Alligator mississippiensis: one gene and its partners. The protein of the gene in region 4 purifies or fractionates together with the protein of the main gene of each other region. This does not show direct contact. Links are inferred from orthologs where the notes say so. Each region holds a gene or a part of one and is shown on either strand. Other genes may lie near its edges.

What was found.
Region 1: the proteins of SMC1A (region 4) and WAPL purify together in Homo sapiens (affinity purification with mass spectrometry; 7 studies listed by BioGRID and IntAct, with this or other methods). This does not show direct contact. The link is inferred for Alligator mississippiensis from reciprocal best matches to the Homo sapiens genes SMC1A and WAPL.
Region 2: the proteins of SMC1A (region 4) and PDS5B purify together in Homo sapiens (affinity purification with western blotting; 8 studies listed by BioGRID and IntAct, with this or other methods). This does not show direct contact. The link is inferred for Alligator mississippiensis from reciprocal best matches to the Homo sapiens genes SMC1A and PDS5B.
Region 3: the proteins of SMC1A (region 4) and NIPBL purify together in Homo sapiens (affinity purification with mass spectrometry; 3 studies listed by BioGRID and IntAct, with this or other methods). This does not show direct contact. The link is inferred for Alligator mississippiensis from reciprocal best matches to the Homo sapiens genes SMC1A and NIPBL.

The regions. Positions count from the first base shown.
Region 1 is NC_081829.1:42,183,429-42,191,111, forward strand, and holds the start of WAPL (wings apart-like protein homolog), read left to right. Parts: upstream 1-4,675; 5' UTR 4,676-4,983; intron 4,984-7,683. UniProt on the Homo sapiens protein: Regulator of sister chromatid cohesion in mitosis which negatively regulates cohesin association with chromatin. Involved in both sister chromatid cohesion during interphase and sister-chromatid resolution during early stages of mitosis.
Region 2 is NC_081824.1:424,476,242-424,484,016, reverse strand, and holds the start of PDS5B (sister chromatid cohesion protein PDS5 homolog B), read left to right. Parts: upstream 1-4,764; 5' UTR 4,765-4,804; coding exon 4,805-4,827; intron 4,828-7,775. UniProt on the Homo sapiens protein: Regulator of sister chromatid cohesion in mitosis which may stabilize cohesin complex association with chromatin. May couple sister chromatid cohesion during mitosis to DNA replication.
Region 3 is NC_081826.1:278,648,612-278,655,857, reverse strand, and holds the start of NIPBL (nipped-B-like protein), read left to right. Parts: upstream 1-4,241; 5' UTR 4,242-4,330; intron 4,331-7,246. UniProt on the Homo sapiens protein: Plays an important role in the loading of the cohesin complex on to DNA. Forms a heterodimeric complex (also known as cohesin loading complex) with MAU2/SCC4 which mediates the loading of the cohesin complex onto chromatin.
Region 4 is NC_081831.1:28,313,699-28,320,882, reverse strand, and holds the start of SMC1A (structural maintenance of chromosomes protein 1A), read left to right. Parts: upstream 1-4,167; 5' UTR 4,168-4,307; coding exon 4,308-4,416; intron 4,417-5,702; coding exon 5,703-5,891; intron 5,892-6,420; coding exon 6,421-6,533; intron 6,534-7,048; coding exon 7,049-7,184. UniProt on the Homo sapiens protein: Involved in chromosome cohesion during cell cycle and in DNA repair. Central component of cohesin complex. The cohesin complex is required for the cohesion of sister chromatids after DNA replication.

The DNA of each region.
Region 1 (7,683 bases), on a different chromosome or scaffold from region 4:
TATACCACATCCATCAGTCTCCCCACATCCACAGAGCCAATCATTTCATCATACAAGTGTGGTGGAGCACCTTTGGGGTGCTTGCCATGCAGCAGGGGCTGCAGTAGGCTGGGGCACAGCCCAGCAAGGAAGGCAACCAAGCAAAGCCCTCAGGGTTCAGGTGGCCATAGTTGTGCCTGGCCCTCAGTTTCCCTCCTTAGGGTCTCTTGGGGTCTTGTACCCCTCAGGGCTCAGGTGGCCATAGCCATGCCCGGCCCTCACTACCCCTGGTGTTACCAGAACCACACAAAGGTGAGCACTAGAATTAAGGCACCCCTACCCGCCTCTCACCAGGGTGATAACTGGCCTGGCATTTCCTGGGTAATCCCATGCCACTGAGAGCCCCACCAAGCCACCCACTCCTGGCAGGGTGCAGTTTTAGGGCATGCCCAGAACCAGGAGCCTGCTAGCCCTCCCCTACAGCTCCTCCCTTACCTCCAGGATGATACATGAAGCCTCACAGCCAGGCAATGTTACTACCTCCCTGCCAGCAGGGAACTGATCTGGTTATAAAGGCAGCCAGGGATCTAAAAATGGCTGCCACAATCAGGCACCTGCTGGCAGCTTGGATCAGGCCCTTAAAGTGGCAGGCATCTACAATGCCCTGCCACACACCTCCCCTCTTAAAATGGTATCTGGGGGAGGTTTCACCTGCTGCTCCTCCAAAGCAGGCTCCCCTCAGAGCCTGTGAGAGCTCTCAAGTGGCGAGCATCCTCAAAGGTGCTCTGCCACAACAAGTCAATCTGGTTGGTGATTGCCCTTGGTGAATCCATGCTGACTGTGCCTAATCACCTTCTCCTCCAAGTGTTTAGAAATGGCTTCTCTGAGGATCTACTCCATGATTTTTCCAGGGACTGAGGTGAGGCTGACTAGTCTGTAGTTCCCTAGAATCTCCTTTTTCCCTTTCTTAAATATGGGCACTATATTTGCCCTTTTCCAATTGTCTAAGACCTCTCTCAATCACCACGAGTTTGCAAAGATAACAACCAGTGTGCAAGCTCATGAACCAACTCTCTCAGCATCCTTGGGTTACTGCACATTCAGTTTAGTATTTGTAAAAACCAGGAATCCTGGTTGTCTCTGATAAAAAAATCTCCAATTTTCAGATTAAATAAAGTAACCCCAAATCCACTTTTCCCCGTGATTAAAATGAAACACCACTATATAGCTATCTATATATTAGTGGTGTTTCATTTTAATCATGGAAAAAAATGTGGATTTGGGGCTACTTTTTTTAAATCTGAAAATTGGGGATTTTTTTTTTAATCAGAGAAAACCTGGATCTCTGATAATAACAGGTACTAACTGAATGCACAGGAACCAGTGCTACTGCAAAGTAGCACCAGCGCACAATTTTTTGTGATGCTATTAAGAAGACTAATTCTGCTGTGCATTAGGTCATTAGCATGACTTTTGCTGTGACATGCTAATGACTAGAATTAGTCTACTGTGTATGTAGCTTCTCTTGTAGATATGCCCACTAAGAGGATACTGAGCCTTAATGCTCTGAGGAGAGGCTGAGTGATTTAAACTGCTACCTGACTTGCTAGAAGAAATGAAAAACATCTGGTAATTAAACATTTACCTTTTATGGGGGGGTTTTCAGGAAGAGGACACCTAGTAGGAGATGGGGGTCACACCCAACAAAATAGAGATGCCTGGTAATCCAAACCTAATTGAACTTTTTCTACAGACAAAAAATAAAGTCTACAGGTTTTAGGTTCTATTTGCCTTTTATTGGTCCTTGCACATATTTAGGCTATACAGATATATTAGAAGCAATACTGCTTAATGTAGAGAGCCACATTTTCAAAGTTACTCTGTATAAAAATTTCAGAAGTGTTTGAAGTAGTTTGTGTGTTTAAATCCCATTGGAAGGCAGTGAGTCACTTTGGTTCTTTTGAACATTTTCCCTTTATCCTTAAGTTATTATTATAAAATTGTAAAGCTTTTTATTTTAATTAGCTAGGCCTACAGCCATCTGCTGAATGCCTACCAAAAAAGAAGAAAGGACCATCAGTGCATAAGTTAGATTAAATTTATCCCCTGTCTGCCACAACTCCCATCAGGACCCTTCAGTGAATATGTAATGCTTTGGAATACAAGATGCGTGGGACTCTCTCACAAAGACCAGAAATGGAACTTGTCCACAGGGGCTCAGGTACATGAGAGCTTAGAAAGAGGTTGTTTTAAATCAAGTTATAGCTGATGAGGATCTTCAGTTCTTCTGGTCTTCCACATACTAAGCTTTTAACAATGATGAAGGGATTCTTCAGGATCTGATGCCTTGCATTTGAAAGTTTGTCTAAATTTATCCCAACCATGTAGTTGGTCCAATACAAGATATCACCCCAAAAAACCCTTGCCTCTCCAGAACTAACAAAAATTTATCATGGGTCAGTGTTAATTAGAATCCTGAATTTTAAACAGACCACTTATTAGCTTCCACACAAGATAACCAACCAGAAAAAATGAACTCACTTTTATGTTACTTTTTTTATTGTAACTTACTGCCACCAGTTCTTCAAAAGCTATCAACCAAACTGTTAAAGATCTTTATCTTTAACCTTTTAAACTTATTGTCATCCAAAATGAATGTCTCCCTTTATTACCCAAATTATACTTGTGCTCTTAATCACATGACCCCAATATATTCCTAATTACCTTTTTTCTTCTCCAAGACCAATTGTGTCATCTCCCTAAAGCAGGGACGGGCAATTATTTTGGACAGAGGGCTGCTTACTGAGTTTTGGCAAGCCATTGAGAGCCACATGACAGGCAGCCCAGGGCAGCTTAATATTAATTTTCTAAATTTTTAGGGGCCCTGCAAGCCGGATAGAATGGCTTGGTGGTCCGCATTTTGCCCACCCCTGCTCTAAAGAGTGTGTGTGGCTCACAAACCCTACAAACTATTAACATATCATGACTGTGACTGAAGGTTATAAGTAAACACAGAAATTCAAGCCTATTTGTTTCATTTGTTGAGTTTGCAAAGAAGAAAGAAATGTAGCCTTTTAATTCTTTTAAATAAGCTTTTAAAATGGATTTAAATAAACCTGGATGAATGAAAGAGGAAAAAGAGCAAAAAGAAATCCCTGACCACAATCCTTAGCTAATCTCCCAAATCACTCCCTTCCCTCTTGGTTTAGTAATAGCAGTCTTCCATCTTTCCTCTTTAATTTATATGTAGATTTATCCTGAAAATCCCTAGTCAAATTACTCAGAATTTGCAAAATCAGGTCTCTCTGCTGTAGAAGAGTTTTGCCTCCAAGTCTTTTTCTCAGGGGGTTGAGAAGTTTAGGACTAGGCTTGAACTGTGGATATCTTAAGTTTGTAAAAACATTGTATCAGTAAAGCGCCATCCTTTATGAGAAATATGAGCAACTAAATAAAGACTTTAAAAAATCTTTCACCTTCTAGAATCAGATTGTTTTTAAATTTGGATACTACTGTATGTTTGTTTGATACAATCTGTATGTTTTGTCACTACACTAACCTTTACTTTTTTTTAGAGGGTTTTAACATCATTACTTATCCCTCAGAAGTATGTAGTTATTGTTTGGTCTTTACTAGTACTAGTGGAAACAGTGGCATGTCTTGATAAAAATGTGGAATGAAGGCCTTTGGCATTGTCTTCCACATTGCCACTTTTTATAAAATGTGTGCTGAGGACAGGCTATAGCTGCTCATAAGGCTGAAATTTTTGCAGTTAGATTGGCATCATATGGTTGGATAATACTGTCTCTCTCTTTTTGCATTTTACTCCAGAGGAGTTAAGGTTGTTTTGGTGCTTTAATTGCACGACAATCATTTCTAAGATCAAGTTTCTTTTAAACTGAGTAACAAAGCGGGTCTGCACACATTTTAACTGTTTCATGTTGTCACTTAACCAAGCACTAAAGGATACAGTTACCTTCCATTCCCCTCCTGCTCATTTTCTTAAAGTTATTCAGAACCGGTGCAGGTGCTTGTGAAGCCTCCTACTGAGTTGTGCTTCTGTAATTTCCTTTTTTTTAAATATGATTTTTTACAGTCTGCAGGTGAGTGTCCCAGGCTTGTCTGGCTCTGAATTCCCAGCTCCGTGGAAACGCGGGTGCTCGCTTTTGCTTTCCTCGGTGCTAAGGCTGCAAACAGACGTCGCCTTTCCAGAGGGAAAAGAACGAGCGTCGCAGCCCCTACCAGGCCGCCCGGGGCCCCGGCCGCTGCCCGCCCCGAAGGAGCCCGGCCCCGCGCGGGGTCCCCCTCCACGGTTGCAGGCGTGTACGGAAATCCCCGGCTCCGCGGGGCGCCCATGCCCCTGGGGACTGCTTGGGCCAAGCCCCAAAAAGGCAAAAGCGGGGACGGCGCAGACTGTACCACCAGCAGCACGTGCGAGGCAGACACCGGAAGCAGGCGCTTTCCCCAGGCCCCGCCCTCCTAGTTCCAAATGAGGGCGGCCCCGCCCTGTGGAACCACAAGTCCCGGCAGCTCCTCGCGCGGCCGCGCACGCGTGCTGACGTGACAGCTACGCGGGGAAGCGCATGCGCGGCGGCGTGCGGGTCGGTTGAGTAAGGTGGGGTGCGATTGGCTGCGGGCGGCGGCGAGTGTGGGAAGCGCAGTGACGGAAGGAGCGGGGGGCAAATGGCGGAGAGATGGTCCAGGGCCCTGTTCAAAGCGCGGCGATAATCCCGGCGCGGAGAAAGCGGCGCCGCAGGAGGTGGCGCCGGGGGCCCTAGCGCCAGCGCCCCGCACTGCCGCCGCCCCGCGCAGGCCGGATCCCGCCGCCGCGGCGCAGGGGCGTGCAGGAACCGCCGGGGCAAGCACCCCTGCCTACGCGGCCGGGCTCTCGGCGCCGGACCCGGGCGGCCGTGTCCGCGGGGCTGAGGCCGGAGAGCACCGCGCGCCGAGCCGTGCCCCATTGTTGCCGGCCGCCGCAGGCCGCCGTCCATCCTGCGTGACACGGAGGTGAGCGCCACGCCGGGCCGGGCCGCGGGACCGAGGCCCAGGCGGGGAAGGCCCGGCGCCTCTTGCCGCCCGGCTGCGCCTCGTCCCCAAACTACAGTCCCAGCTCCGCTCGGGTCTCCTCCTCCCCCCTCCTCTCCCCCCGGGCGGAGCGGAGGGAACTGGAAAGTTCCAGCAGGGCCGCGGCCTCGCCCAGCTCGGACCCGGCAGTCCCCGCGGGTGTGGGGATTGGGGGAGACTTGGACGCCCCGCGGAGGCGCTTCCAGGCCCGGCTGCCTGCCATGTCCAGAGTATCAGGTGGCCTCTAATTCGGGCTGGGCAGCATCGCCTCTATAGGCTGCCGCCGCTTCTCTGTTTGTGGGGAGCCTGAATTGGGTCAGAAGTAGATGGCGGGACCTGGGTCCGCCGGGCCGGCTGGGGGGGGTGGGGACGACGGGAAATGACATCATGAATTGGCCTGTATTTAAACTAGCCTCCCCCCCTCCCCCATCTGCACATGGAGAAAGTAGCTCATCCCATTCAGTGTCTGTCCGCCTCTGCCCTGCTCTCCTCTGATGCTGTGTAAGGGGGAAGGTTTCAGGGAAGAAGTGAGGATGAATGGCACCTCTTTGCCTGGCAGCTGTGAGCTGGGCCTACTTCGGCCTCTGACTGTACTTCCCCCACCTCCCAAACGCAGTGTTGCAGATCATAGGGAGAAGCAGCTGCTTTAGAGACTGTTTTTTCCAGCTATAGCAAAGGTTTTGCTTGCATTCACATGTTTGCAGCACTAGCTGTGTTGGGTCAGAGAAGTAAGTGGGGGCAGGGAATGGAAACAAGAAAATGAAACTGAATAAAGTTGCCCAGACTGAGTGAAAAGCAAAGAGGGAGTAGGAATGGGGGCAGGATTTGTAATGTTTTAAAGTTGAATCTGTTAATGGTTTCTGGATCTTCAAAAATGAAAACCAACCAGCTTGTAAATCTCTTGAGCCCTGGCTGAATCTGTTCTCTTACATCTGGAAGAGAAGACAATTAAGATAAATCCATTTGTGTAGTGAATGCAACTTGGCCAAGTCAAGAGAGATTAATTATTGAGTGAGTCTTAGTAGCTTTGACCATCAAAATGAATTTGTTGGAGAACAGTTTGGTCTTTTGGGCAAACCGAGTCAGAAATTTCAAGTTGGAAATGTGGACCAAAGTGAAAAAGAAAGCAAGACTTCTGCATTTATATGATGCCAGAAGTGTTTGTGACTGCTACTGCCAGTCATACCATGGTTATCTGTACGTATGTGGGAGGTTGTGAAGTATGGTAAAGCCTTTCAAATACTTGGCAAATAAGAAACAAGGTCACTTTATCAAGCCAGCTATAGACCCAAAATTAGCTTTCTAAAATGTGTTCTTACAAATCCTAGGAACGATGAAAAAAATTCCCGTAACTTTAAAAAATCCCAATGCAAAGTGGTATGTGTGGAGTCCTATCGCATGCTCTCCCCTCTCCCTCCCCCCCCCCTTGCAGACAACAACTTCTTCCCTACTGTATGTGTTTGCTGTTCTTAGTATTGTATGTGCAGACTCAAAAGATAGACCTGACCAGAAAGTGACTGTAACAATAGCTGATTTAATCTATTAATACTTTCTGGACTTCAGCAAGGCCTTTGACACTGTCTCCCACCCCATCCTCATTAAAAAAACTAGGCAACTGTGGCATTGATGCCTACACAGTCAGATGGATTGCTAATTGGCTGAAGGGTCGTACTCAGAGGGTGGTGGTAGATGGGTCATTTTCAACCTGGGGGGGAGTGGGCAGCGGAGTCCCCAGGGCTCGGTCCTTGGGCCCACACTGTTCAATTTCTTTATCAGTGATTTGGACAACGGGGTGAAAAGCAACCTGTTCAGATTTGCTGATGATACCAAAATCTGGGGTGAGGTGGGCACGCTAGTCGGGAGGGAAAGACTGCAGAAAGTCCTGAATAGGTTGCAAGGGTGGACTAACAAAAACAGGATGCGTTTCAATACGGACAAGTGCAGGGTGCTGCACTTGGACAGTAGTAACCGGCAGCACACTTACAAGATGGGAAACTCCCTTTTTGAGAGCACAGAGGCAGAAAGGGATCTTGGAGTCATCATTGACTCCAAGATGAACATGGGCCGACAGTGCGAGGTCACGGTCAGCAGGACTAACCGGACCCTATCGTGCATTCACAGGGGCATCTCAGGTAGGGCCAAGGAGGTGATCCTCCCCTTCTATGTGACACTGATCAGGCCACAGCTGGAGTACTGTGTCCAGTTCTGGGCACCCCACTTCAAGAGGGATGTGGACAACATTGAGAGGGTCCAGAGGAGGGCCACCCGCATGATCCGGGGACAGCAGGGCAGACCCTACAATGAGAGGCTACGGGACCTGAACCTGTTCAGCCTTCACAAGAGAAGGCTGAGGGGGGACCTTGTGACCATCTATAACTCACTAGGGGGGACCAGAAGGGTTTGGGGAGACCTTGTTTCCCCTAGCGCCCCCTGGGATAACAAGGAATAACGGCCACAAGTTATTGGAGAGTAGGTTTAGATTAGACATCCATAAGAACTACTTCACAGTTAGGGTGGCTAGGATCTGGAACCAACTTCCAAAGGAAGTGGTGCTAGCTCCTACCCTGGGGGTCTTTAAGAAGCGGCTTGATGCCTACCTGGCTGGGGTCACTTGAGCCTAGTTTTCCTCCTGCCCAGGCAGGG
Region 2 (7,775 bases), on a different chromosome or scaffold from region 4:
GTGTGGCTTTCCTCTGGACTCCCTCAAGCTTCTCCACATCCTTTCTAAAGTGTGGAGCCCACAATTAGATGCAGTACTCACCAACGCCAAATAAAGCCAGACTTTTATTTGCTTTGCCAGCTGTGGCATCACATTGGTGGCTCATGTTCATCTTGTGGTCAGTCATGACCCCCAGGTCTCTTTCGGTTGTGGTGCTAGTGAGTGTAGCACTGCCGAGCCTATAAGTATGATGTGGGTTTTCTCTTCCGAGGTGGAGTACCTTTCATTTCTCAGTGTTGAATGCCATCAGGTTTTGATCCACCCACCTTGCAAGCCTGTTCAGGTCAGCCTGAATTGCCAGCTTATCCTCTAGCGTGAAGCACCTTTCAGCAATGGAACCCTATGCATCTTAAACCACTTTATAAAGATGAGCAAATAATAACTCAGTTCTCCAGCTAATGAACTGATGCACAAAGTGGCTACATAATTTATCCAGGGTCACAAAAGAAGCTAACTTAAAAACTGGGAATTTAATTGATAAATCCTGATTTCCCGGTTTCTAATCTAACCTGCCTCTATTGGTATAGAATTGTAAGAGAGTCTTATTTACTGGTTATTATTATTTTAGCACATTTGACATACTAGTGGCTTCCCACCCCTCCTCTAAAACTGGATGGTTATATTTGTACACGAGAGGCCAGGAATTTTTTAATAGTCCTATCTACTGCATGTTATACAAAACAAGCTTATACTAATATGCCAAGCAGTTCTTAAACTGAAAGTGTTGTGGAAAGTATTTAAAAATGAAATGTTAAAAAGAATTAATTAGTGTTTTCATTCTGGAACCAAGAATGAGAAATCGACTGTTTATTTTCTCCATGTATATGTGGTCATCTTAGCCTCAGTGTATGAATCATAGTGAGCTGAGAGACTAGTGGAGTGAACTTTCTGCAATTTCTTGGTCAAGTACAACCAGATTTTGATTTTACCTTATTAGTAACTGGTATGCATCCATGTATACAGTTTACTAAATATATTTTCATAACATATATGCATGAGGGCTAAATAAAAATTCCATGGAGAAACTTGTCTGGCACTACATACTTTTTGAGTTCTTATAACATTTTCTTACGTTAGCTATTTTTGTACTTAGATTTTTAAAGCTACAGCACAGACTTCAGCTGCCTGAGCAGACATGATGACAGGTAGCAGTAATAGGCTATTATTTACTCTGAATCATTATGTAGGCTCAATTTCAGGTTTTGGAGAGAAGTGCACTTTGGTAGTTATAGACCCTTCCGCCTCTCTCTCCCCTGCCCCCAGCTTGTGCATGTCCTAAAATCCTCACAGTTCCTGCTCTCATAATTGTTTGTTCCTACAGACTACAACTGCAAGTCTTCTTTCCCTCTCTTCCTCTGCTTCCATTCACTGCCATCCTGCTTCCTGATCCTGTTTTTTCTACTTCTATACTCCATGCTTTGTTGCTGTCACTTCCAATTAACCCTAGTTAGTGCCTTTGTATTGGAATTGGGCTCCTTCTTGCTGCTTCTTGCTATCAAGACTCCAGCATGAGGAGCACTGAAAGCATGGGAGTAACAGTTTCCCTAATCTCAGATCTGGAACAAGGCATGACAGCAGCCTTCAGAGCTATGAGAAGCAACGGAAGAGAAAATCTCTCAAGCACCTGCAAGTCTAGGATGGACTCTGACCAGGTATCATGTAAGAGAGGTACAGGGACTGAGCATGCTCTCTGGAGGTAGATTCTTTGGAGGATAAAGCTGCCAGCTCCAACAAATCTAATGAGCATGTATGATCTTCAGTTCTGCAAAAACTTACAGCTTTACCATATTTAGGGTTATTTCCATGAAAAGACACATTTTTTACTCTTGCCAAGTTTCAAGTCCTTGTTCCAAAGGTGTGAGAATTAAATGGATAGGGGCCCCTCTATACCTTAGGTGGATGTATGGGTTCACTGAAGTCGGTAGAAAATTTATGAATGGCTTCAGCTGGGGTCAGAATTTCACCCACTGTGTTCAGGAAACTGAAACTAATATGAACCATATCTTAAAATGAACAAGGAACTGCTTTTTGTATTTGTCTTCTCAAGCTGAGGAGAAACCACCACTATATTGACAGAGCCTGACAGTACAAAGGTACTGCTTAAGAAATAACAGACTAATTACTAATCATAGAACATTAGGGTTAGAAGAGACCTCAGGAAGACATCTAGTCCAATTCCCTCCTGAAAAGCAGGACCATCCGCAGTTAGATCATCCCAGGCAAGGCTTTGTTTAGCCAGGTCTTAAAAACCTCCAAGGATGGAGATTCCATTCCCTTTCTGGGTAACCTGTTCCAGTGCTTTACTAACCTCCTTGTGAGACAGTTTTTCCTAATGTCTAAATTAAACTTCCCTTTATGCAGCTTGAGACCATTGCTCCTTTTTTTTGGTCATCTGTACCACTGAGAACAGTCCAGCTCCATCCTCTTTGGAACCCCACTTCAGGTAGTTGAAGGCTACTATCGAATCCCTACTCAGTCTTCTCTTCTCCAGACTAAATGAGCCCAGTTACCACAGCCTGTCCCCAGAAGTCATATTCTCCAGCACTTTAACCATTTTTGTTGCCCTCCACTGGACTCTGCAATTTGTTCACATCCTTTCTGTAGTGTGGGGCCCAAAACTGGGCATGATACTCCAGATGTTGCCTTACCAATACTGAATAGTGGGGAAAAATCACTCTCCTTGATCTGCTGGCAACGTTTCTACTAATGCAGCCCAGTATGCCATTAACCTTCTTTGTGCCAAGGGCACACTGTTGGTTCATAATCAGCTTCTTGTTCACAGTAACCCAAGGTCTTTTTCTGAAGAACTGCTGCTTACCTAGTTGGTCCCCAGCCTGTACTGGTGCATGGAATTGTTCCAGCCTAAGTGCAGGACTTTGCACTTGTCCTTATTGAACCCCATGAAATTTCTTTGGTCCAATTTTCCAATTTGTCAAGTTCTCTCTGAATCCTAGCTCTACCTTCCAGTGTATCTACTGTTCCACCCAGCTTGTCATCTGCGAACTTGCTGAGGGTGCGCTCCATCCCATCTTCCAGTTGATGAAAATATTGAACAAAACCAACCCCAGGACTGACCCCTGGGGTGCACTACTTGACGTTGGCTGCCAACTAGACATCAACCCTTTGAGCCCAACAATTCAGCCAGTTTTCTATCCACCTTACAGTCCATATACCCAGCCCATACCTAGGTTAATGTTTATATTAAGAACTGGCTTGTTTAGCCATTTCTAAAAAGTTTTCTTGCCAAACAAGTTTCTGCAACTTTTACAGTTCTCAAAAATGTACATTTTAATTGGTCAGGTTGCATTTTTATATATAAAGGCCATTAAAGTTTATATCATAATTATTTTGTCTCGTACATATTGATTGTTCACAACTTATCTTTATTTTTCTTTTAATTATGTGTGATTGCATTGTTTTAACACAGAAAAGGCCATTAGCCTGACTTCTCACTTCTATGACACAGTAGAAAAAGAGAAAAATATTCCTCCTACCATAGAGGAGTTGCAGAAGCTACAGGAATATTTTGTGATTCATGATAGATGTTCTCTGAAGTGATATCTCAGCCAAAGGTGGAGAGAGACAACTGGAGTAGGCAGTCATTTCTCAATGTTGTCAGTTTCCATTTCAGTGTAGGTAAACGTGCTCTTTTAGAATACAGACTGCGATGGACCTGCTCTGGCTTCTTTTCAGACTTTGAAGAGGTTCTCAAAATCTCTTTGGTCTCCAAAGGGCTCCTGAAGACTTGCTAAGTCATCATTGACCACAAGATGAACATGAGCCTGCAATGCGATGCTGCGGCTAGTAAAGCAACCAAAACGCTGGCTTGCATCCATAGATGCTTCTCAAGCAAGTCCCCGGACGTCATTCTCCCCTTGTACTCGGCCTTGGTGAGGCCACAGCTGGAGTACTGCGTCCAGTTTTGGGCTCCACAATTCAAAAAGGATGTGGAGAGGCTTGAGAGAGTCCAGAGAAGAGCCACGCGCATGATCAGAGGTCAGGGAAGCAGACCCTATGATGACAGGCTGAGAGCCCTGAGGCTCTTTAGCCTGGAAAAGCACAGGCTCAGGGGTGATCTGATGGCCACCTATAAGTTTATCAGGGGTGACCACCAGTATCTGGGGGAATGTTTGTTCACCAGAGCGCCCTGAGGGATGACGACTAGGTCGAACAGTCATAAACTACTACGAGACCGTTTCAGGCTGGACATAAGAAAGAATTTCTTTACTGTCCGAGCCCCCAAGGTCTGGAACAGCCTGCCACTGGAGGTGGTTCAAGTGCCTACATTGAACACCTTCAAGAGCAAACTGGATGCTTATCTTGCTGGGAACCTATGACCCCAGCTGACTTCCTGCCCTTTGGGCAGGGGACTGGACTCGATGATCTTCCGAGGTCCCTTCCAGCCCTAATGTCTATAAAATCTATGAAACATATAGGGTATACTTAGTCTTTTCTTGACATAAGTAATCTTGGTCTAGGCTTAGGTCTGTTATGCACTATCATAATATGAATAATTACCATAATAGTAACAATGAGTACATTCAATATTCTCTGTCTCTCTTTGTTTTCAGAATTAAATTCCTTGAAAGGTTTGACAACCAATGACCTACAAGAAAGCCAGACCAATTATTTGTATATCAAGAACAGGCTGGGGGGAGGAACAGATTAAGACAACACACTTCCCAGTTAGAAGGGCAGTCCTTTGAATGTTTCAGGATTAAGCAATGGTTTGCCAGGAGTGTGAGCCTCTGTGAAATTCCAGCCCATGTTTAGTCTACAAATAACCATGTAAGTAGTAGCCCTGCTTTAATTTAAAGCTTAACATTAAGTGCCAATGGGGGATGTCTGCTAAAAATGTTGGTATCTGCAGTGTGCTGGACACATCAGAGGTGTAGATTTTTGTGAGTTCTTTTAACTTAGATGCTTAAATTCCACTGAAGTTCTATTTTAGATGCCTGTGTTCTTTTGTGAATCTTGCCTTTAGCCTATAGATTATTCACATTTCAGTTAATCAGAACTATCACAGATATTGTACAGTGAAGCCAGTGGGATTGTTGATTATAAAAGGACCAGGCAAAGGAGAGAATTGATGGGGGTGTATACAAATTAATCGTCTGCCACATAAAAATTGGAATGGAAAAATCAAATTAATAAAGGTGAGAGAGGTAAAAACAAAACTTGCATCTGTTAACCTTCATTCACATGACCGTCTCCAAAGGTCTCTTTTCCAGATTTACTGAATATTCTTGGTAGAGTCTGTTAACTTATTTTTAAGATAGTTTAGAATATAAGTAAGGACTTCATGGCAGAGCCAATTTCGAGGGCATTTCATGGTGTCCATGCCCCTCGATGCTGAGTGGCAGAGAAGCCCTGCCCTTGGTGATGGTCGGTAGAGAGGCTCCAGCAGAGGGAGGAGGGGGAAGGGGGCAGCTGCCATTTTATCTGCTGTCCTTCATGCTGCCAGCTGGCACCTTCCCCTCCCAGCAGCAAGGACCACTGGCTCTCACTGTGGAGCTAGCATTTTATTTTGAAGGGTTTTTGTTGTTGTTGATTTCACAGATTTTGTGGACAATCCTGGACTTCATGGGTTCTGCAAAACTGCGAATTAATAGGTCCCTAAATATAAATATTTGAACAAAAGTGGCTTTTTAGCACAACCAAATCAAATGGCTGGTTAGACTTCTGTCTTATTCATATTCTATAACTCTCACGCTGGTCCTTTCCTTTCTTCTAATGAAAGAACTAGATCTAGATGGAGTGTTTCATAGCCTGTTTCTTCTTGCTGGGAGTTTAATACCCTACAAACCCAGCAGATATAAATCAAGGACAGGGTGCAAAAGGCACAAAATAAGTGAAGTTTATTCTAAGATAGTAGTAATAAAAGAAGTATTTAATAGATACTGAGACCACACAAGACTCATGTATAGTATCCAGTCCTGGTGATTTGTTGTTTTTTGGAAAGCAAAAAGTCTGTAATGGAACAAAGCAAGTCTGTTTCATGACTGCTGCTTTCTACTTTAAAACAGAGTAATGCATAACATAGCTGGTGTAGACAGATGAAACATTTACAGTGTTTTAAAATTCTATCAGAATCCCATGGGTTATGTTGAATGATGTTACTCTTTAGTTCAGTAATAATAGTTCAGGGTACCATTGTTCCCTGGGGCCCTGTGAGATCCTTTTAAGGATATCATGCAATATTAGGTGTGTAAACACCTACACGATTCACAAGATAAACCCAGAGATTTCAAGTGGGAATCAATAGTGTCAAAGCCTTCTGATCTGTTGTAGTCTTTCTGAGCGCTCTGCAACAGAAGAATTGCTCTTATTTTTTCATAGTCAGAAAACAAGTGAAAGCTAAGTGGTGGCATTTTCTGAGGGGTACCTTAACTCTAAAAAGATTGAGAACCACTGCTTTAGACTGTCAGCATTTATACTGTTATAAGTGGAGCTATAAACTACTGGAACTTTAAGCCCATTTCATTCAGGTTTAAACTTACATTGGTTTAGTCTGTCTGAAATAAGTTCTCCATGACCCACTTTAAAAGTGGTATGTTGCATACTTGTCCACAACCAGTGTCTTCTGGGGTGATTTGAATTAAAAGAATGTGGGTCTGATGCACTGAAGTTGAGATGTTATTCTATGTAAGGAGCAGCTTAGAGGAAAGCATAACTGTGAGAATGGGAGAGGGAAAGAAATTAAATGTTGAGGCTGTCACCATGGGTGTAGTAAAAAATTGATAAGCAACAATAAGGAAATAGATCAGAGAATAAAAATGATGGGAACTGGGCAGAGTACTGAAGGCAAGAATGGTTATAAGGAAACTGATATGTACACATCGTGGTCTTCTGTGTTTAGGGTTATGCAGTGAGAAAGGGGACTGGGGAAAGACATGCAAAGTTTAATGTATTTTCAGGTTTTTTCTTGAATGCCAGTTCCCATTACTGAAGAAGAGCCAAAATAGTTAAAAGAAGATTAACTGGATTATGTGCATTTCCATCTGAGGTAGTTATATTGTGCTTATTACTGTACTCTGAATTCTTTACAATCTTTAAGACCTACAAAAAACTAGAACTCTTAGTTCCAAAACGGTAGACCAAGTGGGAAATCGCAAGAAGATTATCCTTTTCTGCAAGCTTTCGGGATCAAAGTCCCGTTGTCCGGCTCTGAGAAAAGTATAGATGGTACAAGATGGTAAAAAGTCCCCATAGGTAGGAAGTAAGCTTCATTTTTTTTCACAGAGGGAGCTGAAGATGGAAGGCTGTCCCTCTGGGTCCATAATAAAATGCATCATTTTGAAACCAAGAGTTCTAGTTTTTTGTATGTCTTCTGGTCTCAGACCAACACGACTACCAAGTACACCCTTATAATCTTTAATGGATTTATCCTAACTACCTTCCTGCAAAGTACATAAATACTATTATTACCAATTTTACAGATTTAGAGTTAAGACAGAAACTGAAATCCAGATCTTCAGAAGTATTTGGTGCCTAAGTCCCAGTGATAGAATGCACCCTAACTGATCCATTGTTAGGGCTTCCTAGGTGCTACAATAATACAAATATAACATGTCTGCAACTTTTGTCTTAAATGTAAGATAGTGTTTTGTTTTGGAAAGTTTGACAACTAATGGGTACAGGGAAGCCAGACTAATTATATTGACTGCAAGAAGGCAGTTGGTGAGTGAGAAAACCTGTTTCTTTCATTTATTTTCACTGTATACCTTGTTACAACA
Region 3 (7,246 bases), on a different chromosome or scaffold from region 4:
TGCTTCACTTTAGACTTAACTTGATCTTAAGGTTATTTACTTCTAATGCTGAATATTCCCCAATGAATCAATTATATGGTGCAATTATTTGCTCCTGTGGATAAAAGTCAATGCAGAAAACATGATATTATATTTATATTTTTTGCAGACAGCATTCATCGTTTCCTCTCTTATTCATGGTCGAAACCAAGACTTAACACCAAAATCTAAGTAAGTTTGATGCATTAAATTTAGGATCCTATGCGACTCACTTTACAGTGTATCAATATACACTTATCTCCCAAAAATACATACAAAATTTTTAAAATGCCATTTTTTAAAGTATAGCCATTTTTTAAGACTCTTTTATATATACAGTTATATGATAGACAATCCTTAAAAAATTCTGGCCACAAAGAAATAAGAAATAGCTAACAGTTAAAATATATATTTAACTGTTAGTTATATAGGAAGTTGTACAGCAAGCAAAGCTTAAAACGAGAGGAACTTGATTATACTAAAACCTATCCAGGCACAAATAGAAAAGATTGAGAAATATAAATATTAACAATCTAACAAGCAATCAGATAATATAAGTGTGTACATCAGAGTCTATGAAAACATGGATATTGGATATTTTTAAATGCCAGACTGCACATTGCCCGTAACTAATTATTCAGCTTCATAAACTAAATATCTGGGGACTTACCCTAAAATCCAAGAGGCCAAAAAGTGTTCTCTGCTTCTGAATAGTAGATTTATAGATACAATTTTATACATCCTTCTTGCAAGTTTATTTCACCTGGTAGTAAAAAACAGTAGTAAAACATTTATGACTCAAGCTTTCTTCTTTTATCCTTGAAAGAAATATTTTCTCTATGTTATTTCTTGTGTGTATAATCTCTTGTTTCTGACTATTTTGTAAAAATATTGAAGTATCAGTCCACTTTGAAAAATACAAGAAATATTATGAGAGTTAACTGATGTTCCATATAGTTTAGATTTACAGCAAAGATAATAATACAGTTAGAGGAAAACATACATTCTTAACTGCCTTCACTTGACTTCAAAGAGAGTAGAATGAGGTTATGAACTTATCAGCTCTGTGCATAAAATTATTTCCCCAAACTTGTGATTCACTTGCAGGCCAGGGGCCTACAGGAAGAACAAGGTTCAGACCTGTAAACTAGCCTTTAGTTTATCATATTTTCTAATATTTTGTTTTTAGAACTTCTATGATACCATAATCTTTCTCCTTTTTGGACATCATGCATGTAAGGTGTGATGAATTTTTGCATATTGAATTGTTTTGTATATATGTACATGAACCCTCATTCTTGTGCCTACATGGAGCCCCAAAATAGAGATAATGAGTCATTGTTATCTAGCTTGTGTGTATCAGATTACAGGATTGTGAGGGATCTTACTTTGTACAAGTTAATACAGAGTAATAATTGCTGTAGATAATTATAAAAGTTATTTTTCATTTAAAGAGCTTAATTTTGTATATCATAACTTTCAAAGCAACCACTGCCTCAAATGTAGGGGGCTGGAATCGATGATCCTCCGGGGTCCCTTCCAGCCCAAATGTCTATGAAATTATTTATAACTTGTCTGATACAGATAATAATAAAATAAAAATGACTGCTTTCCTAAGTAATACTCTGATTAAATAGTAATACTAATTGATTAAACATGGCTGATGAAGTATGAAAAAAGGGCCAGTCTCAATCTTAGTTAAGCTTATGATAGAAATCTAACAGAGGCACAGGGGTGCATTTTATTACCATGCCATTTACACTAGATAGCCACACTTTATGTTGGAAAGACATGATACTGAAAAAGAAAGTTGCATTTAGTGCAAATCACTTTATTCCATTCTATAACTTTCTTTTTAAATATTTAATCATGAAGGTAATTAGTAAAACCATTTAGAGAGTCCATCAACTTGAATCTTGCAGTAATACAAAGTTAGAAAGTAGAATGAGGTAAGTATTACACTTGGCCTTGCGTCCTTGTGCTAAATTTATGGTTTTATAATCAGATTTCCTTATTCCTGCTTTTCTTTCTGCCTGCGCAAAAAATTCTGCATAAATAAGAGGGGAAGCTGATGCACCCTGATTCTCCATGCTTAAAATTACAAAAACAACATCTCAGCTGACTTACACTAAGAATGTGTGTGCGCAACAATATGAAGTCCTGGGGCCTAAGGATCAACAAGTTCCATATTTTGCCTACAGACAAGGATTCCCAGAATTAACTGTGTACAAGCAACTATATGAAGGACTGCTACATTCATAAACTAAACCAAATGAAGGCACGGGCAAGAGTTTACTCCTCTTACCTTTTAATTAAAGCATTATTAGGCCCTTTGTCTATAAATGCTTAATTCTGCTAGCATGAGTAGCTCTAGTGAACAGTGAGGTTAAACACATGGGTATTTACAGAACTCAGGATTACATGTTATTTTTAATTAATAATAGCAGTCAACAAGTTTTCAAGAGAAATGTGGCTTAAATTGACCGTGTCTATAAAATGTACATAAAGATTTATTCATATAAAATTAGCATATTTGGAACTAAACCACAATATTCTCTAATCACATCTCTCTCAGTCTGCACCCAGAAGCACACAAAGTCTTAGAATGGATTTTGAGTCATCATTTTCCTCTCCAGCATTATGAACTGGATCATTTTATTAATTTAAAGAGATGCATTTGAATCTGTGGTAGCCACAGAACACACAAATGACACAGAAGCCAGGCAGGATTCAAGTGCATGGATGCAGGACCAATGCATGGCTCTCTAAGAACTCCCTTACGGAAATGAGGTCCATCCAGAGCTGACAGAAGCACAACACCATATGCCCAACTGCTCGGTGTCTTCATGGCTCAGTCCTGCAGTCTTTACACATCCTAGATGCCAGTCTGATTATATGGAGTTTCCCCGAGGAAGGCTGGGTAGGAACTATAAGAATGGCAGAAAAGGAGGAGGTTAATGCGTATAGGAAGGAGCCTTGGCTGCCATGCCAGGCTGGGATCATTCACAACCCATTTTACCTGAAGAGAAAAACAGAGCAGCTTCCAGATTAGGGCAGTCCCATTCTGCAACCTTTCCTTCACAGCCCCAGTGCTGGCTTCCAGGAAATCTACCAGCAAGCCTTTCAGCTCCCAAGGAAGGACCCTTCACCTCAGCATCATTTTTTTTTTTTTTAATTCTCCCGTATTCGCTCAAGAAAGCTGGTTTTAAAAATCATTCAAATTCGGCAAGTAATCGCTTGACCCAGGACCACTTTCACCATCGGGCGTTTCAGATCTGGTGACATCAAGCCTCTTAAAACACGTAAGAAAAAACAGGAGAATTTAAGATCCAGCAAGTGTCCCGGGTCTGGCAGCTCCACTCACTGCGCGGGGGAAGACGACCTTCCTCGGGGATTCACGCTCAGGCTCCTCTCCAAGTCCCTGAAAGTCGTCCTCCAAGAAAAAATCCTCCCTCAAATGGTTCCTCTTCACGAGCCGCCGGCTGTCTTCCTCCTGGCGCAGGCCCGGGCGCAGACTCCACTCCCAGGCAGCAGCTCGGAAGGGGAAAAGAAAGAGAAACTCGGAGGCAGAAGCAGGGGTGGGGACGGGGCCGCCGCCCGCAGCGAGGAGCCGCGGCCAGGGCAGGGGCGGCCGCTGCGCGGGGCAGGGCGGGGAGCGGCGCGGCGGAAGCGGGGCTCCCTCCTTCCCTCCCTCCCTGGCTGCCTGCGCGAGCGAGCGAGCGAGGAGGAGGCAGCAGCGGCGGCGGCGGCAGCAGAGGGAAGGGGGAGGCTGTTGGTGTTTGGCGCCGGTGGAGGGAGTCATTCCTGCAGCTGCACTTCCGGTCGGCATTTTGTTCTGAGAGGGAGAGAGACACACAGGATCCTTCCCCCTCCTCCTCCGCTCCCCCCGCTTGGTACCGACTCCCGGCCCCAGGCTGCCCCCTCCCCCGCCCCCACACTCACCCGCGCGGAGGGAGAGGCGGCGGCGGCGGCAGCGGCCCGGCGCGGTGTGCGCCTCGGAACCGGTTCGGCCCGGCCCGGCCCGGCCCGGCCCAGCCGTGTTGATGTTGTGAAGCAGGCTCAGGGGGAAGGGATTTGTCTCGGCCGCTCACCCCCCGGCTCTACATGTTCGCTGCACTGAGGAGGAGACGGAAGAGGAGCCAGCCCCCCTCCCGGCCCGGATTATTGTTGTTATATTATCTCCCCTCCTCCTCCTGCTCCGCGGCGGCGGCGGCGGCCCAGCAGCGGCGGCGGCTCCTCTGAGGAGGGAGGGGGGCGGATTTCTCTCCCCCGCTCTCGGATTCTCGTTGGATTCAGACGCCGATTTGCTCAGGTAATCCCCCCTCCTTGTCTCCCCTTCCCCTCCCTGCGCTCTCCAGCAGCGGCCCGGGCCTCCCAGCCCTGGCGGCCCGGCGCTGCCGGGAGCCGGGGGGATTCGCTCTTCTCCGGGAAGCGGCGAGTAAGTGGCGAGCGGAGGGGTTTATTTCGCCTCCCCCCGCTCCTGCTGCCCCGGGGTGGGCGGCGGAGATCGGCTCGTCCCGGGCTGCCGGGAGGCGCAGGCCCGGTGGAGGGCGCAGGCCCGCCGGCCAGCGCCTTCACTCCAGCTCGGGGATTAGAGAGGCGAAGCGGCTTCTCCGTGACAGGCCTCAACCCGGGGAGCAGCAGCGGCAGGAGGAGGAAACAATGCAATTAGCAGCAAACGTGCCCTGATCCTTTGCCATATTTACAACTTCTCTAGGGCCGGGGGACGGTCCCAGCGCAGACAGTCCTCCGCGAAGTGGGAGAGCGGTGTGAGGAGCCGGGAAGAGAGACAATGTAAATACCCAGAAACAAATATAGCCATTATCGTCCCCGGGATCTTCTCCTGGCACAAACTCCAGGGTGAACCTGAAGAAGTTAATGCGACTAGATTTGTATTCTTTAAAGAACAAATTTCTGAATTCCCTACCAATTGATTAGCGTGGCAATGTCCAAGTTTATTTATAGCCTAAAACTAGCTCTTGTGGAATGATTGACACAAGGCGAGCACCTGCAGACCCCAGGAAATACACACAGACAAATGTTTGAGGTTGGTTACTAACATAATCTCCACGTTTACATGCTCAGTACATTACGTAAATATTAATATAGAAGAAATCCAGGGGTATGCTTTCTAATAAACTGAAGAAAAGGGAAAGGGGTCTTTACAAAGTGTAAAACTGTGACATTTCAGGGATCAAGGTAAAGATGGGCCCAGAGTATTTTAAGGATCAAGATGCATTAAAATTGCTGAAAAGTAAAGAATGTTAAAAAGTGCAATCTTTTCTTGTCAGGACAGACCACTTTGAGGACCTGGGGTTGTTATTGGCTGTTTGTGTCCCTGATATTTGAATATGTAATTAGGTGTCATCTTAACAGGTCAAATGTGTCTGTAAATGGCTGGTGATTAAGTATCCCTTTTTAATAAATAAATGGTAGCAAACTTAAGAGTAAAGTAAACCTTGGATTTCTGTGTGCTGGAGTTAAGAATAGTGTTGAAAATCTTAATAAATTTAAAGAAAACACTGTTAACTGATTAAAAAATACATATTTCCAGTTCAGCTGTACAGCTAGAGGGGAATTTAGCCTAATCCTGCTGTTGTAATACAAAGTTTCATATTTAATATTGAAAGGAAATTTATAAGTGGCTAAAGTGTAGCAACCTAGCATAATCTCCTGCCCCACTATTTTGTAGTGAGATTTTTTTTTTTTAGTTGTTCAGGGAGATCTCTGTTAACAGTATGTTGCTAATGTGTCTATAAAAGTAACTTTTTGGTGTTTTGTGCTTAGGGTCTTACTTATAAAGGATGTACTATCTTGCCTCTAAGCGTCCCAATACATGTTTAAAAGGGTGAAGTTAATATAGCTGTCACGTAGAAGGCGTGTTTTTAATGCTGTAAATCCGTGTAGTAGTCAGTAGCGTGTCCGTGATTTGTATTGGTCAGGGAGCAGTTTGAATTTTAAAAAGCCTGAAGATCCTGCTGAGCCCCAGCCCCGGCCTCCCTCCCTCCCACTAATCTCCCATTCCTGTCTTTGTGCTGCCTGGTCCTGTTAGACACTGTTTGCAACAGGGCCTCAGGCCTACATGCGTGGAGAGGAACCATTTACACTCTGAAAAAGCAGCTTTTATTTTTAAACTTTATGAATTGCAGAGGGAGCCACGAGTGTCTCTAATTGTCCTTCTCTGTGTGTGTAACTGAATCGCTGTTTTCTTTTGGGCCATAGCATGTGTGGAGGCCGAGTGTAGCAGTAGTTTACAGGAAAGAAAGGACTGTGTAGAAATAGTAGTAGCACTTGGGTAGTTTTCATCATCAGGAAGCGACATTAGTTGTAGTGTTTCTTTCCTTGTTTGCTTAAAACAGGTCTCTAGTATGTGCAAAAACTTAGTTGCTGTTAAATCATCTTGATTTGTGCACTTTAAATTTTAAGGATGTTTGCTTTAAGTATGTAAGATGAGCTGGAATTGAGGTGTTGTAGTTATGTAGTTCCTGTCAAGTCTCTCTCATAATATGTTCAGCAGCCTTTAAAAAAAATAAAAAAACATGCATTTCTAGATATTTTTATCTTATGTATGTAAAATAAGAGACACTTATAGACATCTTTAATTTTAGCTGTGTATTTGTGTTTTGGATTTATTTTTTCTTTAAGACATGCAATGTTGTAGATTAAATATGAATTATCTGGTTCATCATTGGCTACTTAGTGATAAGTTTCTTAGGCTCAGAAAAATGCCTTTAAATGTCTGAAAATATAAAAAAAACCCCACTTCTCAGTAAAGTGTGTAGAGTAAGATTTTTTTTCCTTTTTCTTGTTATTGCATGTTTGGTATGAAACAAAACAAAAAGTAGGGGAAAACCAGAAGTATTTAAATTTCATACCTGCTTGATGGTAGGAGATTGCATACATGTCCAAGAAAATATCTAAGTGACATATATGTATGACCAAAAAGAAAATGTCTTTAAAAAGAAGATAAATGCAGGTATTTAAATAAAGTATAACTTAACAGAACTTAAGTTATAACTTAACAGAATACCCGTTAAATAAAAAGAAATGCAAAACTCCAGAACTCTTTGTTCAGAGATGATACCTTTTATTAGACCAACTAAGAAATTGCAAAAAAGCCCCACAAACCCCCACTCAAATGGTTTGTTGTTTTGTTTTTCTGGTGTTTTTTGGTTTAAATTTGTATTATTTGTAAGGCTTCTAAGGTTACTCTGCCTGAAATGAAAGA
Region 4 (7,184 bases):
AGGAGGAATCCAGGTATCCCATAATGCCTTGGGGGAGTGAGTTTAGGTGTCCTATAAATCCTTGTGGGGAGTTGTATCCCATAATGCTCTGGGTATGGTCCAGGTATCCCACAGTACACTAGCACAAAATATCTAGGTATCCCAATCTTGCCCTACCAAGATGCTAATATCCCATAATATTGTGTGGGTGTCATGTGCCATAATGGCATGGGGTGGGGCAGGAGTCACATAATGCCCTGGGAGATGGTGTGGGGTAGGTATCCCACACTTCCTTGGGGATGGGGGAAGGATAGGTGTTCCCATAAGGCCCTGGAGGGTACTAGTGTATCCCACCATGGCATAGTAGAGATTTAGGTATGCTATTATGACCTGGGGCAGGTATTTAGGTATTTTCAACCTTTTTTTAATAAGTGTACCCCCAGCGGCCAGATGCAGGGAGGTGGGGGGGGGGGCGCATGGCATACAGCTGGGTGCAGAGCAGCAACAATGCAGGGTGGTGGGTAGTAGTGGCCACTGCATGCAAGCTTCCCCCCCGCCCCGTATCCGGCCAGCTGGGGAGTGCCTGTACAGCCTGCAGAGGGGTGCCACTACCCTTGCCTCCACTCTCCGCCCCAGCTCTGCTTTTTGCAGGGTGGCGGTGCTTCGTCCTCTTGCCCTCATGTACCCCCTAGGGCCTTCCCAAGTACCCCTGGCAGTATGCGTACCCCCAGATGACAACCTTGTAGCCTTCTATGACCAGGTCACACTGCCTGGACGCGGGAGCTGAGGCTGATGTCATCTTCCTGGACTTTAGGAAGGCCTTCGACACAGTTTCGCACCCTATCCTCATTGGGAAGCTAGCAGACTGTGGAGTGGATGCCTACATGGTCAGGTGGGTGGCCAACTGGCTTAGGGACCGCACCCAGAGAGTGGTGGTGGATGATTCCTTCTTGGCCTGGAGGGAGGAGGGCAGTGGGGTCCCGCAGGGTTTGGTCCTCGGACCGATATTACTCAATATCTTCATCAGCAATTTGGACGAGGGCGTGGAGAGCACCCTCTCCAAGTTTGCTGATGATACCAAGTTATGGGGCAAAGTTAGTACACTGGAGGGCAGGGAGCAGATTCAGGCTGACCTGGACAGGTTGGATCAATGGGCAGAGAGAAATAGGATGCAGTTTAATAAAGATAAATGTAAGGTACTCCACCTGGGAAGGAGGAACCCCCAGCACACCTATAGGTTGGGGAGTGTCCTTCTCAGCAGCTCGGAGGCAGAGAGGGATCTTGGAGTCATAATTGACTCCAAGATGAACATGAGCCAGCAGTGTAACAAGGCCAATCGCACTTTGTTGTGCATTAGCAGGTGCATGACTAATAGAACAAAGGCGGTGATGCTCCCCCTCTATGTGGCACTGGTCAGGCCGCAGTTGGAGTACTGTGTCCAGTTTTGAGCCCTGCACTTCAAGAGGGATGTGGGGAATCTCGAGGGGGTCCAGAGGAGGGCCACTCGCATGATTAGTGGCCTTTGTGATTAGACCCTACAGGGGGAGGTTGAGAGAGCTGAATCTCTTCAGCCTTCACAAGAGACAGCTGAGGGGAGATCTTGTGGACACCTATAAATTTATTAGGGGAGGTCAACAGGGAATAGGAGAAGTGCTGTTTACTAAGGCGCCCCAGGGAGTGACTAGGAATAATGGGTGTAAAGTAGTTGAGAGTGGATTTAGGTTAGATATTAGGAAGAAATGTTTCACAGTAAGGGTGGCCAGGATCTGGAATGGGCTTCCAAGAGAGGTGGTGCTATCACCTAGCTTGGAGGTCCTCAAGAGGAGGCTAGATAGTCACCTGGCTGGGGTCATCTGACCTTGGTCCTCTTTCCTGCCAGGGGCAGGGGGTCAGACACGATGATCCATTGTGGTCCCTTCCGACTCCTACAATCTATGAATCTATGAAACCCTTGCCATGGGGGGTGGGGGGAGGAACAGGTCCCATAGTGCCCTGGCATTTGTACCTGTGCCTGGTTGTAGGTGGCAGTGGCCTGGGCCCAGGCGCACTGACACACATTTTCCAGCTCCTCCAGTTCCAGTGCTTGCAGCCCTAGCACCACCTGTTGCTGCTGCTCCAGTGCCTCTGGGGGTGGGGTTGGGGGGGGGCATTACTGGGAGAGAACCCAGGTATTCAGGCTCCCAGCCCTTCTTGCTTTTACCCCCCTAAGCCCCATTCCCCTCTCAGAGAACTGAGGAGTCTGGGCTCAAAGCCCCCACTTCCCTCCCAGAGAACCCAGGTGCCCAGGCTCCGAGCCCCAATGGAACCTTGGCACGTAGACTCCAAGCTTACCCCCCATTCCAATCCCCCACCACTACAGAACCCAGAGGTCCAGGCTCCCACTGCTCAAGCCCACCAACAGCACTCTCCCTTCCCAGAGAACCTAGGCATCTAGTTCCTACCAATCACCGATGGAGTCCCTCTCGGCCTGGGCCTGGTTCTGGGCCTCACACTGCTGGTCCAGCACCTGGTGCTGCTCATTCTGTTGCTCCTGGCGCCGCACTACCACCTCTGGGTCCTCACCCTTGAAGCACTGAAGCCTGGCAGGGCCAGGGGGGCCCTGATCCTCCAGCTCTGCGGCCTGATCCTGGGCCTGCTGCTGGGCCCAGGTGGCCTCCAGGGCCCGTCAAAGCCCCCATGCCTGTTCTTGCTTCTTGGCCTCCAGTATCTGGGCCACCTGGGCACCCTGCAGGTGCACTACATCTGGGGGAGAAGGGGTCAGAAATCTCTGCTCCAAGGGAACCTTGGAATCCGGGTGTCCCTGGGGCCTGAATTTTTTTTTCCAGGCTCACCAAATGCCTCCTCCCGGCATTTCTCAGTCTCCTCTCGCAGCTTCCGCTCAGCCACTTGGCATTGAAGGGCTTCCATGTCTACCTAGATGAGGGAGAGAGGCAACGGCAAGATGGGTCCTGGATGCCTGAGCTCCCTTGGCTCTGATCCACCAGACCGTATCCCTCCACCAGACAACCCAGGTGACTGGGCTTTCAGGCCCTCCTGCCGCCCCGCTCTCACCTTCGCAGCCCCCACACTCGCCTCCTGGAGTCCCCTGGTGTCTGGGATCTCAAGCCCCACTTCTCTCACCCCCTCAGCCCCCACTCCCCTCCCAGGGCACCCAGGTGTCTGGGCTCCAAGCTCTTTTGCTCTACCCCAACAGACTCCATTCCCCTCTCAGGGAACTTAAGTATCTGAGCTCCCAGTCCCTCCCTGGTCCAACCCCCCCTAGCCTCTACTGTCCTCCTGGAACAGGGAGGGAACCCAGGGATCTTGACTTATTCCCATGCGGCAATAGCGAGGGTTGAAGATCTGTGTCTGACGCTGACGCTCCTTCTCCCTCTGGGCCTCCAGCACTGCCCCCACCTTGTGGGGCAGGTCTGCCTTGTACATCCTGGGGGAGGGGGTGGAAGTGTCAGTACCAATGGGAGAGAACCCAGCACCTCCTGCTCATCCACCAGCCCCATTCCCCTCCCAGAGAACACAGGTGTCCAGGCTCCTACACATTGGCCTCCCTCTACCCTCTCAGAGCCAGGAAAGAACCCAGGCACCTGGGTTCATGACCTAACTGTCCTTCCCTGATCTTTTGACCCCTTCCACTCACCCTTACTTGCCCCCAAACAAAATTCCCTTTGCTTCCTGACCTTTGACTTTTGACCCCAGCCTGTCCCCAGTCTCCTCTGCCCTTTGACTCCCAATTTACGTTGGTCCCTCTTGACTTCTGACCCCTGTCTTCACCCGTATTTTTGACCCCTGTGCTCTCTGACTGAACCCTCCTTGCCCTGCTCCGCTTTGTCTCCGAGGCCTTCTGTTTAAGATCCTCGTCTCCATGGTAACAGGCCAACCCATTTCACCTCAATCTCCCCTTCCCATTGGTACAGCCCAACCGCAGTTTTATGCAAATAGCGGGTTCCCCGCGGGCCAATTAGGAACGAGAGTTTGGGAAGAGTTTATTTGCTTGTTATGCAAATAAACATCCCTATTAAGTAGAAGGGCGGGAGCCCGAATGCAAATAAGGCCCGGCGCCTCGCGGGCTAATAAGGAGGAAGAAGCGGCCAGCTATGCAAAACGACCCCGGGAGCGCCGACCAATCTGAGGAAGCCTTGGAAAGAAGCCCTGCCCTTTTATCTTGGACTAGTTCCTCGCGAAGGCCGGTGCTCTCGCGAGATTTCCTTATCTTGGCGGCAGCGGCGGGCCAGAAAACAGTGAGGGGGTAGGGCTGTGAGTCGGTGCTCCGGCGGGTCTCAGTAGGGCCGGACGGGACGGGACGGGACGATCCGGTCCGGTGTCTCGCCACCATGGGATTCCTCAAGCTGATCGAGATCGAGAACTTTAAGTCCTACAAAGGGCGGCAAATCATCGGGCCTTTCCGCCGCTTCACAGCCATCATCGGGCCCAACGGCTCCGGTACGCGGGGCCTGCTGGAGGACCTCCCCTACTCTAGTGGGCAGCTGGGTGTTACGGCCCAAGGGGGACGTTTAGCTTAGCGGCGGGCGGCTGGAATGTACCACTGAGACCCCTGTAGGGTGAGGGGCTGAGGGGGGTGGTATAGTCCGGAGGGAAACTTTCGTTTGGTGGCAGACGGGTGGGATGTTCCATTGAGACGCGGTGGAAGGGTCCACGGATGAGTGGGTAGGCGGGGGGATAGGTCACCCTTGGCTTGGCGGTGGGCAGTTGGAATGTTCCACTGAGACCCCTGTGACGCACGCTGGAAGGGCCCTTGAAACTCTCCTCTATGCTGGTGGAAGGGTACAAAAGCATTTCTTCTCCCCCCCCCCATATTGCGGCACTAGGTGCCATAGGGGACTTTCCCCACATAGGAATGCTATTGCCCACAGAACTCCCCCCACCCATGACATGGATGGTACAGTCCATTGGCACCCCTCTCCCCCCATCCCACATTAAAATTGAACAGACTGTGGCTCCTGGGGAAGGGTATGGCTCAGGAACCCCCTGTGATGCATCTCCCATCCCACAATGCATTGTGCCTGCCACCACCCCCTGCAACAGGGGTCTTTCCCCCACAGGGATCCTCCGACAATGCATTGTTTATGCCAATCTTCCTGCTATCCCATGAGGCCTTGCCCTGTTGACATACCTTCCCACAATGTATTGCTCATGCCAACCCCTTCTTGCTGTCCTGTAAGACTTTGTCTCTCTGATCCCTTTTGCTGTCTCACAATGCATTGCTTATGCCAACTCCACCACTGTCCCATAAGGCCTTGCCACTTGATTTGCGTTATTTCCACAGTGCATTGTGTGTACTGATCCTTCCACTATCCCACAATGCATTGCTCATGCAATTCTTTCCCACTATCCTATAATGCATTGCTCATGCCAACCCCTGAACTCTCATGAGCCCTTCCTTGCACCAATCTCCTATCCCAAAATGCCTTCTCCACACTGAAATCGTATCACTCAACATACTTCATGTGCCAAACACTACTTCACTATTCTATAATGCCTTGCTCTGACTGCCCCATCCCTGCTATCCCATAGTGTATTGCTTATGCTACCCTTCCTAGTATCTCATGATGTCTTGCCTGCATCAGTCCCCTGCTATCCCACAATGCCTTGCCCACACTGAGGCTGCACCCCACAGTACACTGCACCTACCAATCCTCCTACTATCCCACAATACCTTGCCTGCGCTGACCTCCCTTCTGTCGCACAATACCTTGCTGGTTCTGCAGGGAAGTCAAACTTGATGGATGCCATCAGCTTCGTGCTGGGTGAGAAGACAAGCAACCTGCGGGTGAAGACTCTGCGGGACCTAATCCATGGGGCACCAGTAGGGAAGCCGGCTGCCAGCCGCGCCTATGTCAGCATGGTGTACGCGGAGGATGGCGCTGAGGATCGCACCTTTGCACGTGTCATCGTTGGTCAGCTTAGGGGTGGAGCTTGGGGATGGCACAGTGGGGAAGGGGTAGGGCTTGAGAGCAGGGGGAGGAGCATAGTGGGGAAGGGGTGGGGCTTGGACATAGTGCAGGGCTTGGGAGAAAGGGGAGGGGTTGAGGGTGGAGCTTGATAGGGTAGGGCAGAGTGCGCTTCTGGGCTGGAGCAGAGGAGGGTGGAGAATGGGTGTGGCTTGGTTAGGGGGCAGGGCTTGGAAAGGGCAGGGCTTGTGGGTAGGGGTGCAATGTGGGATAGTGGGAGGGTGTAGTTTGGGGCTGGATATGGGGCTTGAGGAAGGGATGGTGCTTGTCAAACTGAGGGAAAGGGTTGGGCTTTAGAGAAGGAGGAAGCTTGTGGGCAGGGGAGGGGCCAAGTGGCAAGGCTTGGGCAATGGTCAGACCAGGGGAAGGAGCTTGGGGGAGGGGAAGGGTTGGAGGGTTGACACTGAGGTTGGGAGGATGCAGACTCCATTCCCTCCCCGTGCTGGCCTTGACCCCCACCTCTCCAACTCATTAGGCAGCTCCTCAGAGTACAAGATCAACAACCGGGTGGTGCAGTTGAGTGAATATAGTGAGGAGCTAGAGAAGCTGGGCATCCTCATCAAGGCGCGCAACTTCCTTGTCTTTCAGGTGGGGGTGCTGCCTACCTGGGATGGGGCAGAGGAGGAGGAGGGTTATGGGGCTCCATTGTGCAAGGGGTGGAGCTGGGAGGGAGGGGGAGGGGTATGGGACTTGTGGTGTGAGGAGTCTTGGGTGTATGGGGGAAAGGGGGGCCCAATCCTGGCTGGGGCTTGGGGGGCATCTTGGGCCTGATCATGGGGGTTGGGAGGTGTATTCTGGCCCCAATCCTGCTGGAGGGTAGGGTCTTTCAGGGCTAAATCCTAGGATCTGTGGAGGGGGGAGGTTCTGGCCTTAATCCTGGGTTTTTTGGGGTGGTTCTGGGCCCTATCCTTACTGGAGGGGCAAACTGGTGGTATGCTGGTGCTGATCTTGTCTGGGAGGGTCCTCGGTGTGATACTTCAGTTTGAGGAGGTCCTGTCCGTGATCTTGGGGATTGGGAAGAGGATCCTGGGCCTGGGAAGAGGTGGGATCCTGGGGCCTGGTAATGATGCCCTGACCTTGTCTTCCATTGGCCCGGGTGGCAGGGGGCAGTGGAGTCGATTGCCATGAAGAACCCCAAGGAGCGCACAGCACTCTTTGAGGAGATCAGCCGGGCTGGGGAGCTGGCTCCTGAGTATGACAAGCGCAAGAAGGAGATGGTGAAGGCTGAAGAGGACACAC